2 linked regions of the Callithrix jacchus genome follow. The protein of the gene in region 1 interacts with the protein of each later gene in a biochemical or structural test. Links are inferred from orthologs where the notes say so. Each region holds a gene or a part of one and is shown on either strand. Other genes may lie near its edges. The genes, in order: RNF114 and XAF1.

Evidence for each region.
Region 2: the proteins of RNF114 (region 1) and XAF1 form a complex in vitro, tested with the Homo sapiens proteins (2 studies listed by BioGRID). The link is inferred for Callithrix jacchus from reciprocal best matches to the Homo sapiens genes RNF114 and XAF1.

What each region holds. Positions count from the first base shown.
Region 1 is NC_133506.1:45,486,193-45,490,464, reverse strand, and holds the start of RNF114 (E3 ubiquitin-protein ligase RNF114), read right to left. Parts: upstream 3,068-4,272; 5' UTR 3,058-3,067; coding exon 2,918-3,057; intron 1-2,917. UniProt on the Homo sapiens protein: E3 ubiquitin-protein ligase that promotes the ubiquitination of various substrates. In turn, participates in the regulation of many biological processes including cell cycle, apoptosis, osteoclastogenesis as well as innate or adaptive immunity.
Region 2 is NC_133506.1:73,177,674-73,181,483, forward strand, and holds part of XAF1 (XIAP-associated factor 1), read left to right. Parts: intron 1-1,367; coding exon 1,368-1,563; intron 1,564-2,762; coding exon 2,763-2,848; intron 2,849-3,810. UniProt on the Homo sapiens protein: Seems to function as a negative regulator of members of the IAP (inhibitor of apoptosis protein) family. Inhibits anti-caspase activity of BIRC4. Induces cleavage and inactivation of BIRC4 independent of caspase activation.

The sequences.
Region 1 (4,272 bases):
AGAAAGAACTAAGGATGTATAATAAAAGGCAATTTTCTGAACACTTGACCACTTTCTACTGCCTCTAAGAATCTCCTTCCTCTCTGTCATTAAGTTAGATGTCAATGCTGTTAGGAATTCCAGATCAGGTTCAGAGGTGAGAGAATCTACTCATTTGCCACTGAGGGCAGAGTGGAAACTTGACAAAGCCCTGTTCTCATGAAACTTACATTCTAGAGTGAAGGGAAACACAAATGTTAATTTCAGATAGTGATAAAATATATGAAGGAAATATGGCAAAGAGACCAGCTGGGGTGATCACAGAAAGCTGCTTCTGAGGAGTTGGCATTTGAGCTGGGTGGGACCCAATTACGAGGACAGTCACAGATCTGGGTGCAGAACTCCACACCGAGATGATGCCAAACACAAATGAGCACTGGAAAGACAGGCAGGCAGGCAGGCCTTGGGAGCCACAATGTGGTAGACCATGGCGAGAAGGGCAAGCGATGAGGCAGCAGAGACAGGCAGGGCCTTGCGGTCATCACTTGTGTTGCCTCTTCACAAAGGCAGATCACAAGAGGAACCCAAGAGACCGCCGAGGGTCCAGTGAGTATAGTGGAACCGAACCCAGCATGCAGATAAAAGCAGCCTGAAGTCTCTTCTCAAGCACATACATAGGTGGTACAGCTCATCTATCAAATGTTCACGAGCCACTTTGTGCCTGAGACACACCCAAACCACCAAACTGCTTTTGAACTGCTCAAATATCCTGGGCTGGCTTTTCAATTTCTATTTCCTACTTATGGGCCCCTTTCTAGTTCAGCCTTCTGACACTCACCCCAGTCCAGTGCTAGAAAGAAATTCCCCTCTTGTGCACCCAGCCAGCTGCCCTTTTCCAGCTGTATTATCCTAGATTGGAGAATGCAGTCATTCAGGGCTTGAAATACAGTTTTATAAAAATCCAATGCCCCAGCCAGAGTTGCAGTAATGTTCAAGTTTCCAAGCACAAAAGGTAAAAATCAACTAGGCACAGCAGAAAGCACTTGGCTCCAGCTAAGGGGCTAGAGCTAAGTCAGGCTGCCCTCACAGAGGTGCTCCCATCTGTCTTCAATTTGCACTGAACTGCTCAGCACGTGGGGCTAGGACAGTGAGTATAGGGAAAAGCCAAGGTTTGAATCCCAGTACAACTCCTTGCCCTCTGACCTAGGAAACGTTCACCTAGCTCAAGGAAACCTCAAATTTTGCTGCTCTTCATTTAGCAAACTGTGCCAAGTCTAACCTTTTTACAAATGTTAATAGTAAATGAAATCCACTGAATTAATCCAAAAGTAGGTAAGTCTGAGCCAAGGATAAACGGATTCAATGAAAAAGCTAGCTAAAGACTTCAACTCTAGTGAAGTTTGCTTCCACCACTAATTTCTTAGTTTATTCAACCATTACCTGATCACTCACCCCAGACAGAGGTGTGATCCCTGAAATACCCTCCTACTTGCAGAAGGAATTTTTACAGTAGTTTGACCGGTACTTATTTATAATCAATTCACTGAACTGTAAAACTCAGAAGGCAGTCACCTTTCTACTTTACTCCAAGATCTGGCACACAGAGGGCATTCCAGTCAGTTGAGGGGCAAAAAACATACGGCCACTCCTTCATGAGCTGTAAGCAAGAAGGAAGTTAAGCCCCAGAAAGGAAGTGGGGGAAGTAATTTAGACAGGAATGGTGTTTGGTGAGGTAACTTAACCTGGGACTTGAAGCCTGAGAAAATTAAAAAGAGTTCCAGGCTAACTGAACTGGAAAGAGGAATAGCCTAAAGCTACATGAAGAAGCAAAAAGCAGCCAGTGCGGCTGGGAGCCTTTGCCAGGTGCCAACCACTGTTCTCCGGAGTAACAAAACAGTCACCTGAAGTCCATCTGGGAAGAGTTAGGACACGATGAGCCTTCCTTAAGTGAGCCTCGGACCCTCAGTGTATTCACCTGTAATATGGCTACGAACCCTACCCCGCTGCAGGGTGGTTACAGAATAACGGCCATGAAGTGCAATGGCTACTGTGCCTGCTGCCTAGTGAAGGGGTCCCAAGACCAGTGCCAAGCTGATCCCACAATAAACACCGAGAGAGGCCGGAGGAAAAGCCAATTCTCAGAGGCAAGAAGCAGGTGGCCACGTTGCCTACAATTTTTTTTCAGCTCACGTGTGTTTGTGCATCTAATGGAACAAGGCTTAGATTCAAATCCGCCAACCTCGAAAGCCCCGGCCACAGCCCAGGACCTGGACTGGACATTTTTACACATATCTACTTTAATCACCATAACCAGTCTATTCACAGTATTCAGGTCATGAAGGCTTCATTGGAAATCGAAAGAAACAAACCTCCTACACAGGAAGTAGAGAACGCTAACAATCCGTCTGCCAACTCCCACCCCCTTTCACAGGTAAGGGCAGACTGGCCAGATCCACATAGACTTCCCTTTTGTTTTAGTCTAGTTCAGCGTTTCTCCCAACTTTACTCCACGTTGGACTAACTCGGCACAGCTAGACACGATGCCAAATGGCCTATGCTTTCAGAGCGACATGGACTAGAAAAGAAACGTCGGCACTCCAAGGCGGACTTCAGAGCCTAAAGTCCTCATAGGGCACGATTTCACTATCTCGTCTGAGAAGGAGACTGACAGGCCGCCGGGTGCACCGCAGGCGCTCAACGGACAGCAGCTGCCCAGCTAAGGGCGGAGGGACTGGATACTTGGGAGTGAGCAGGGCGGAACAGAAGAGTGCCCCGGCAGCTTTCAAGGTCCTTAGGAGCCCTGGGGGGCCCCGCCGGGAGGCCCCTCTGGGTCACCTCTGGCTCCCGCCCCGAGACCCAACTCGTCGGGGCCTCGCTCCTCGGCTCCATTCCCCTCCCAGTCAGGCGCCCCCCTACCAGGCCCGGGTTCGCCGCTTACACGTGTCCGCAGGGCACCTGTACCGGCTTCTCGTACACCTCTAAGCATACGGGACACGTGAAGCGGCCCAGGGGGTCAGCCTCCGCCGCCGACCCCGCCAGCTGCGCAGTACCCTCCCGGCACTGCTGTTGCGCCGCCATTTTGCTGCTCAAGAGCCGCGCAACGGCGGCTGAGGAGGAGTAGGCCGAGGGGGCGGGGCTCGCGGCAGGCGGGCGTGGGGGCGGGGCGCTGTTGGGGGCGGGGCGCTGTTGGGGGCGGGGCTCGTGGGTGGGCCGCGCCTCCCGGCCCCTCTGACCTGAGCGACCTAGAGGCCGAAGGCAATCTGGAAAACGTGGAAGCCAAATCCAAAGGCTGCCAGATTTGTGACGGTCTTTGCGCGTGGACCGCTGTTTTCCAAATGTAAGTCATTAGTTCGGCACCACTTGCACTATCACTAGTTCTCTTCAAATCATTGCTTTTTCCTTAAATTTATTTATTTATTTAATCTATTTTGAGACAAGGTCTTGCTTTGTCGCCCAGGCTGGAGTTCAGTGGCACGATCGCAGCTCCCTGCAGCCTCGACTTTCGGGATTCAAGCAATACTCCCACCTCAGCCTCCTGCATATCTGGGACCACAGGCAGTCACTACCATGCCCAACTCATTTATTTTTGTATTTTTTTTTTTGTAGAGACAGAGAAAGGAGTCGGGGCAGGGCGGGAGGTGCTGGCCAGGGGTTGTGTGTGTGTGGCGGGGGGTGGGGGTAGTTCTCACTATGTTGCCCAGGCTGGTCTTGAACTCCTGGACGCAAGCGATCTGCTCGCCTCGGCAACCTGAAGTGCTGGAATTACAGCCGTGAGCCACAGTGCCCAGTCCTTTCTTAAATTTAACCAAACAAATTCTAATAACAGATCTAATTCCTGAGCTGCAAGAAGAAAATCAGTATCATTTATTTATACATAGGAGCTGGGCATGGTGGCTTACACCCGTAATCCCAGCACTTTCGGAGGCCGAGGCAGTCGGATCGCTTGAGCCTAGGAATTCCACACCAGCCTGGCCAACATGGTGAAACCCCATCTCTACTAAACACATAAAAATTAGCAGGACATAGTGGCGCACACCAGTAGTCCCAGCTACTCTGGAGGCTAAGGCAGGAGAATCGCTTGAACTCCGGAGGCGGAGGTTGCAGTGAGCTAAGACCGCTCACTCACTCCAACAGTCACTGAACTCTAGCCTGGGCGACAGAGTGAGACTCCGTCTCAAAAACACAAAACCAAAAAACCAACAACAAAGCACATTCATTTCATATTGTGCAATCATCACCATCAGCTATCTCCAGAATTCTGGTGGTCTGTGCCCACTAAACAGTAACTTCCTG
Region 2 (3,810 bases), about 28 Mb from region 1:
AAGGGTCCAGTCCTCCCTGTGGGAGAGATGGGGTCTGGGAGTCAGGGAGTGGGACCAGTCTTGCCTACAGGAGAGATGGGGTCTGGGAGTCGGGGTGAGGGTCCAGTCCTCCCTGCAGGAGAGATGGGGTCCAGGAGTTAGGGTTAGGGTCCAGTTCCAGTCCTCCCTGCAGGAGAGATGGGGTCTGGGAGTCAGGGAGTGGGTCCAGTCTTGCCTACAGGAGAGATGGGGTCTGGGAGTTGGGGTGAGGGTCCGGTCCTCCCTGAAGGAGAGATAGGGTCTGGAAGTCAGGGTGAGGGTCCAGCCCTCCCTGAGGGAGAGATGGGGTCCTGGAGTTGGGGCAAGGGCTGGGGACTTAAGGCAGGAGTCCAGTCCCCCAGGCAGAGACTCACTTGAGGGCCATGGGAAATCATTTAGTTCCTTCACAGGAAGCCGCATGGGCAGGAAATGTTAATCCTGCCTTTTTCATGCTAATCTGAGCCTACCACCAATTTTCCCATCTCCAGTCCTTTCCCTACAGGCTTATGGGTCTAGCATAGGCAAAAGGATCTGGTTTCAGGAAAGATTGGCTCTTCTCTTGAGACCCGTAAAGAGGGGACATGAAAAGGAAAGCCCCAGAAGGCAGTCAGGTTGAGCTTTGTTTCCTGCCTTTCATGTCCATGCCTCCTGGGCCCCTGATCTGTCTCTCTGGAGATACTCAAGCTCAGGCATCCATTTCAACTCAGACTGGTCTGACAAACACTTCTTGAACACTGGGCTGGCGCTAGAGAGAGACTGAGGTAACCACACTGGATCCCTGCCCTCTAGGAGTTCACAGACTCCAACCTGGAACACTGTGAGCCAACATGGATGTGGGACAGGCCCAGGGTGCTGGGTGGAACCCACATCTGGGGTGTGTGTGTGTGTGTGTGTGTGTGTGTGTGTGGTGTGTGTTTAGGTTGGGTGTACGATGTGTCAGAAGAGCATACAGAAGTCCTCACTGGCGTTTCATGAGGTAAGACTTCATGTGATTTCTCCTTTACAGACAAATAGGCCAACCTGAGAAAAGGAGAGGAAGGGGAAAGGGGAGGCCGATAATAGAGAATTCCACCTGACCACTTTTTACACCCCATCAGGCTTAGAGAGCAGTGAAGAACTAGCCCACTACATGACACATGATCTCCTGTCCCCCAGATACTGGCCAGAAGTGCTTTCCATGGTCCATGAGTTCAAGAGAGCTCAGATCCCCCGAGGGCAGTCCCTCACTCTGGCCCTTCTCATCTGCTATCTCTTATTGGCTGTAATTCCCTAGGGAATTGGGCACAAGTCCTTGATCTGTCTGCAGTCAAAGAGGCCAGTGATCATGCCCTTCCTGCTGCCTCCCACAGGCCAAGGAGTGCCAGGAACACTCCGCTGAGTGTAAGTTCTGTGAGCTGGACATGCAGCTCAGCAGGCTGGAGCTCCACGAGTCCCACTGTGGCAGGCGGACGGAGCTTTGCCCAGGCTGTGGCCAGTTCATCACACGCCGGGTACTCACCGAGCACACACGTTTCTGTTGGAGTCAACAGGCCCAGCTCGGGAAAGGTGAGCACACAAACTGGGGCAGAAGAGAGACATTCTGAGGGCCAGAGCATTTTCTGGATGGGATGTGAGGAATGGAAGCTCTCAGCAGCATGGATGACAAGTGTATTTGCTGTGTAGGTCTCAATTCATCCAGCTATTCTCATTCTAAACCATGCATTAGAGTGGCCTTCCTGTCTGTCTGCCATAGTCTTCAAATGACTGGTCCAGGGAGACCAGGGGGCTGGGGCTAGAGCCTGCCAGCTGCAAAGTTGAGTAAGGAGGCCATGGGGAGTCCCAGGAAACAGGAGGCTTTCTTTGAATGCCTCCAGCACAGTCCTAGCCTGGCAGAGATCCATTGATTTCTCATCCTTTTACAGATGAGAAATCTACACACAGAATAAAGCAGGGGCTTGCTAGAGGCAGAAATAAGACTGGACTTTCACATTTTCCACCAAATCTAGGGCTTTTTCCATTATCAGTAATGGCCAGAAGGGACCTAGCTATAACTCCTGGCCTTGGAGCCTATGTATTGGCTCCCTGGTACCATTTTATGTTCCCTTGACTCACATACCTCTTTACAAGGGTATATTTACTGTCACTGTCACACAGTCATTAATGTGACAGATCCTTTGCTGTCTTTGCTGGTTGTTTTGGTAACATGGTAACATAAGAGACAGCCTAAAACTCCCCAGACAGTTCTCTCCTGATAAACAATCTACCCAAGGTCAAAACTGGCCAATGAAAAACTGAAAAGTGTGAGATTCATGTACATTTCCTTCATCCAGCATGGCTGGATTTCAACAGAACCAAACACAGTCTTCAACACAACAATCAACAAAGATGCGTTCAACCAACACCTGGTCCAATCACAGAGCCTGGAAACTGGTGGGATGAAGAGCAGTTAGATTGGAGAGGATTGGCATCCCTGGCTAGAGTTCCATTCATCCCCATAGAAAGCAGTCCCGCTCCGGAAGATGTCTCTCCATCAGGGTCACTACTGCCCTAAGTGCACATCTGTGGCCATAAAGGAAATGATGTGAGTGACTCTGCCAAGAGTTGCCTGTGTAGTCAAGGATGCCAGCAGTGCAGGAAAGTCAAAGCCAGACAGGCCTGGGGGCAGTTCATGCTCATGAGTACGGGCCATATAGACAGCTGTGGGCGAGCTGGGCTAGCCATCGTCAAGGGCAATCATTTGTGGTGTTGTTTCTGTGCTTATTCAGGGGAAAGAATTTCAGCACCTGAAAGGGAAATCCACTGTCATTATTGCAACCAAATGATTCCAGAAAATAAGTATTTCCACCATATGGTGAGTAGCAGTTAGTAATTTTCTAATGGTGCCAATAGTTAGTCCACATTCTGAAAAGTAGGATAGGAAAGGCAGATTCTGGGCCCAATTTTGCGTAGCATGAATATTAAATGATCATATATATATATATATATATATATATTTTTTTTGCTTTGTTCAAAAAGATATTTTAGTGACTAGCTTAGGCTAATCGAGCACACACAATTGGTCTTCCTTTGTGCCCAGCCCTTCAGGGGGCCTCCCTCACCACTCCTAATACCCGCGATCACCTCTGACCATCTCCAACCTTCATGACCTGGACATTGCAATTTGGTCCTCAGTAGGGCCTGTCTTACTGTTTTCTGTCCCATGTAGGAGTCTTCTCTATTAAACTGTGAGCTTCCTGCAAAACTGAATGACTTTTCCCATTTTCCTGGTATCAGGGCTTGGTGCAAAAAGGGTACTCTGTAGAGATGCAGTCATTGGTTGACTGACGGGCTGGTTCTGTCTGGGAACACTCAGACTCTTCCCTCCATAGCCCTAAGCGCCTTTTCATGCATTGCTGTGCCAAGTTGCTCCCTTCTTTCGGACAGAATGGAGCATTTTTCCTTTGGGAAACTTACCAAGGCTTCTCTCCAAGGAACTCATCTCCTTGGACAGAAAGTTGTTTACTTTCTTAACACTTCAGTTCCTAGAACTACAGAATATCAAAACTAAAGCAGCCATAGAAAGGATTCAGCTCTTTGCTTTTTTGTTTTGTTTTGTTTTTACTAGTGTGGGAAACCACATATAATGTAAAACTTGCCACTACTTTTGAGACAGTTGGTACATTCAGAATGTTGTGAATCTAGTTCTAGAATATTTTCATCATCCCAAAAAGAAATGCTGTGCCCATTTGCAGATACTATCCATTCCTCCATCTTCCCAGTTCCTGGCAACCATTAATCTACTTTCCATCTCTATGGATTTGTCTATTCTGGATA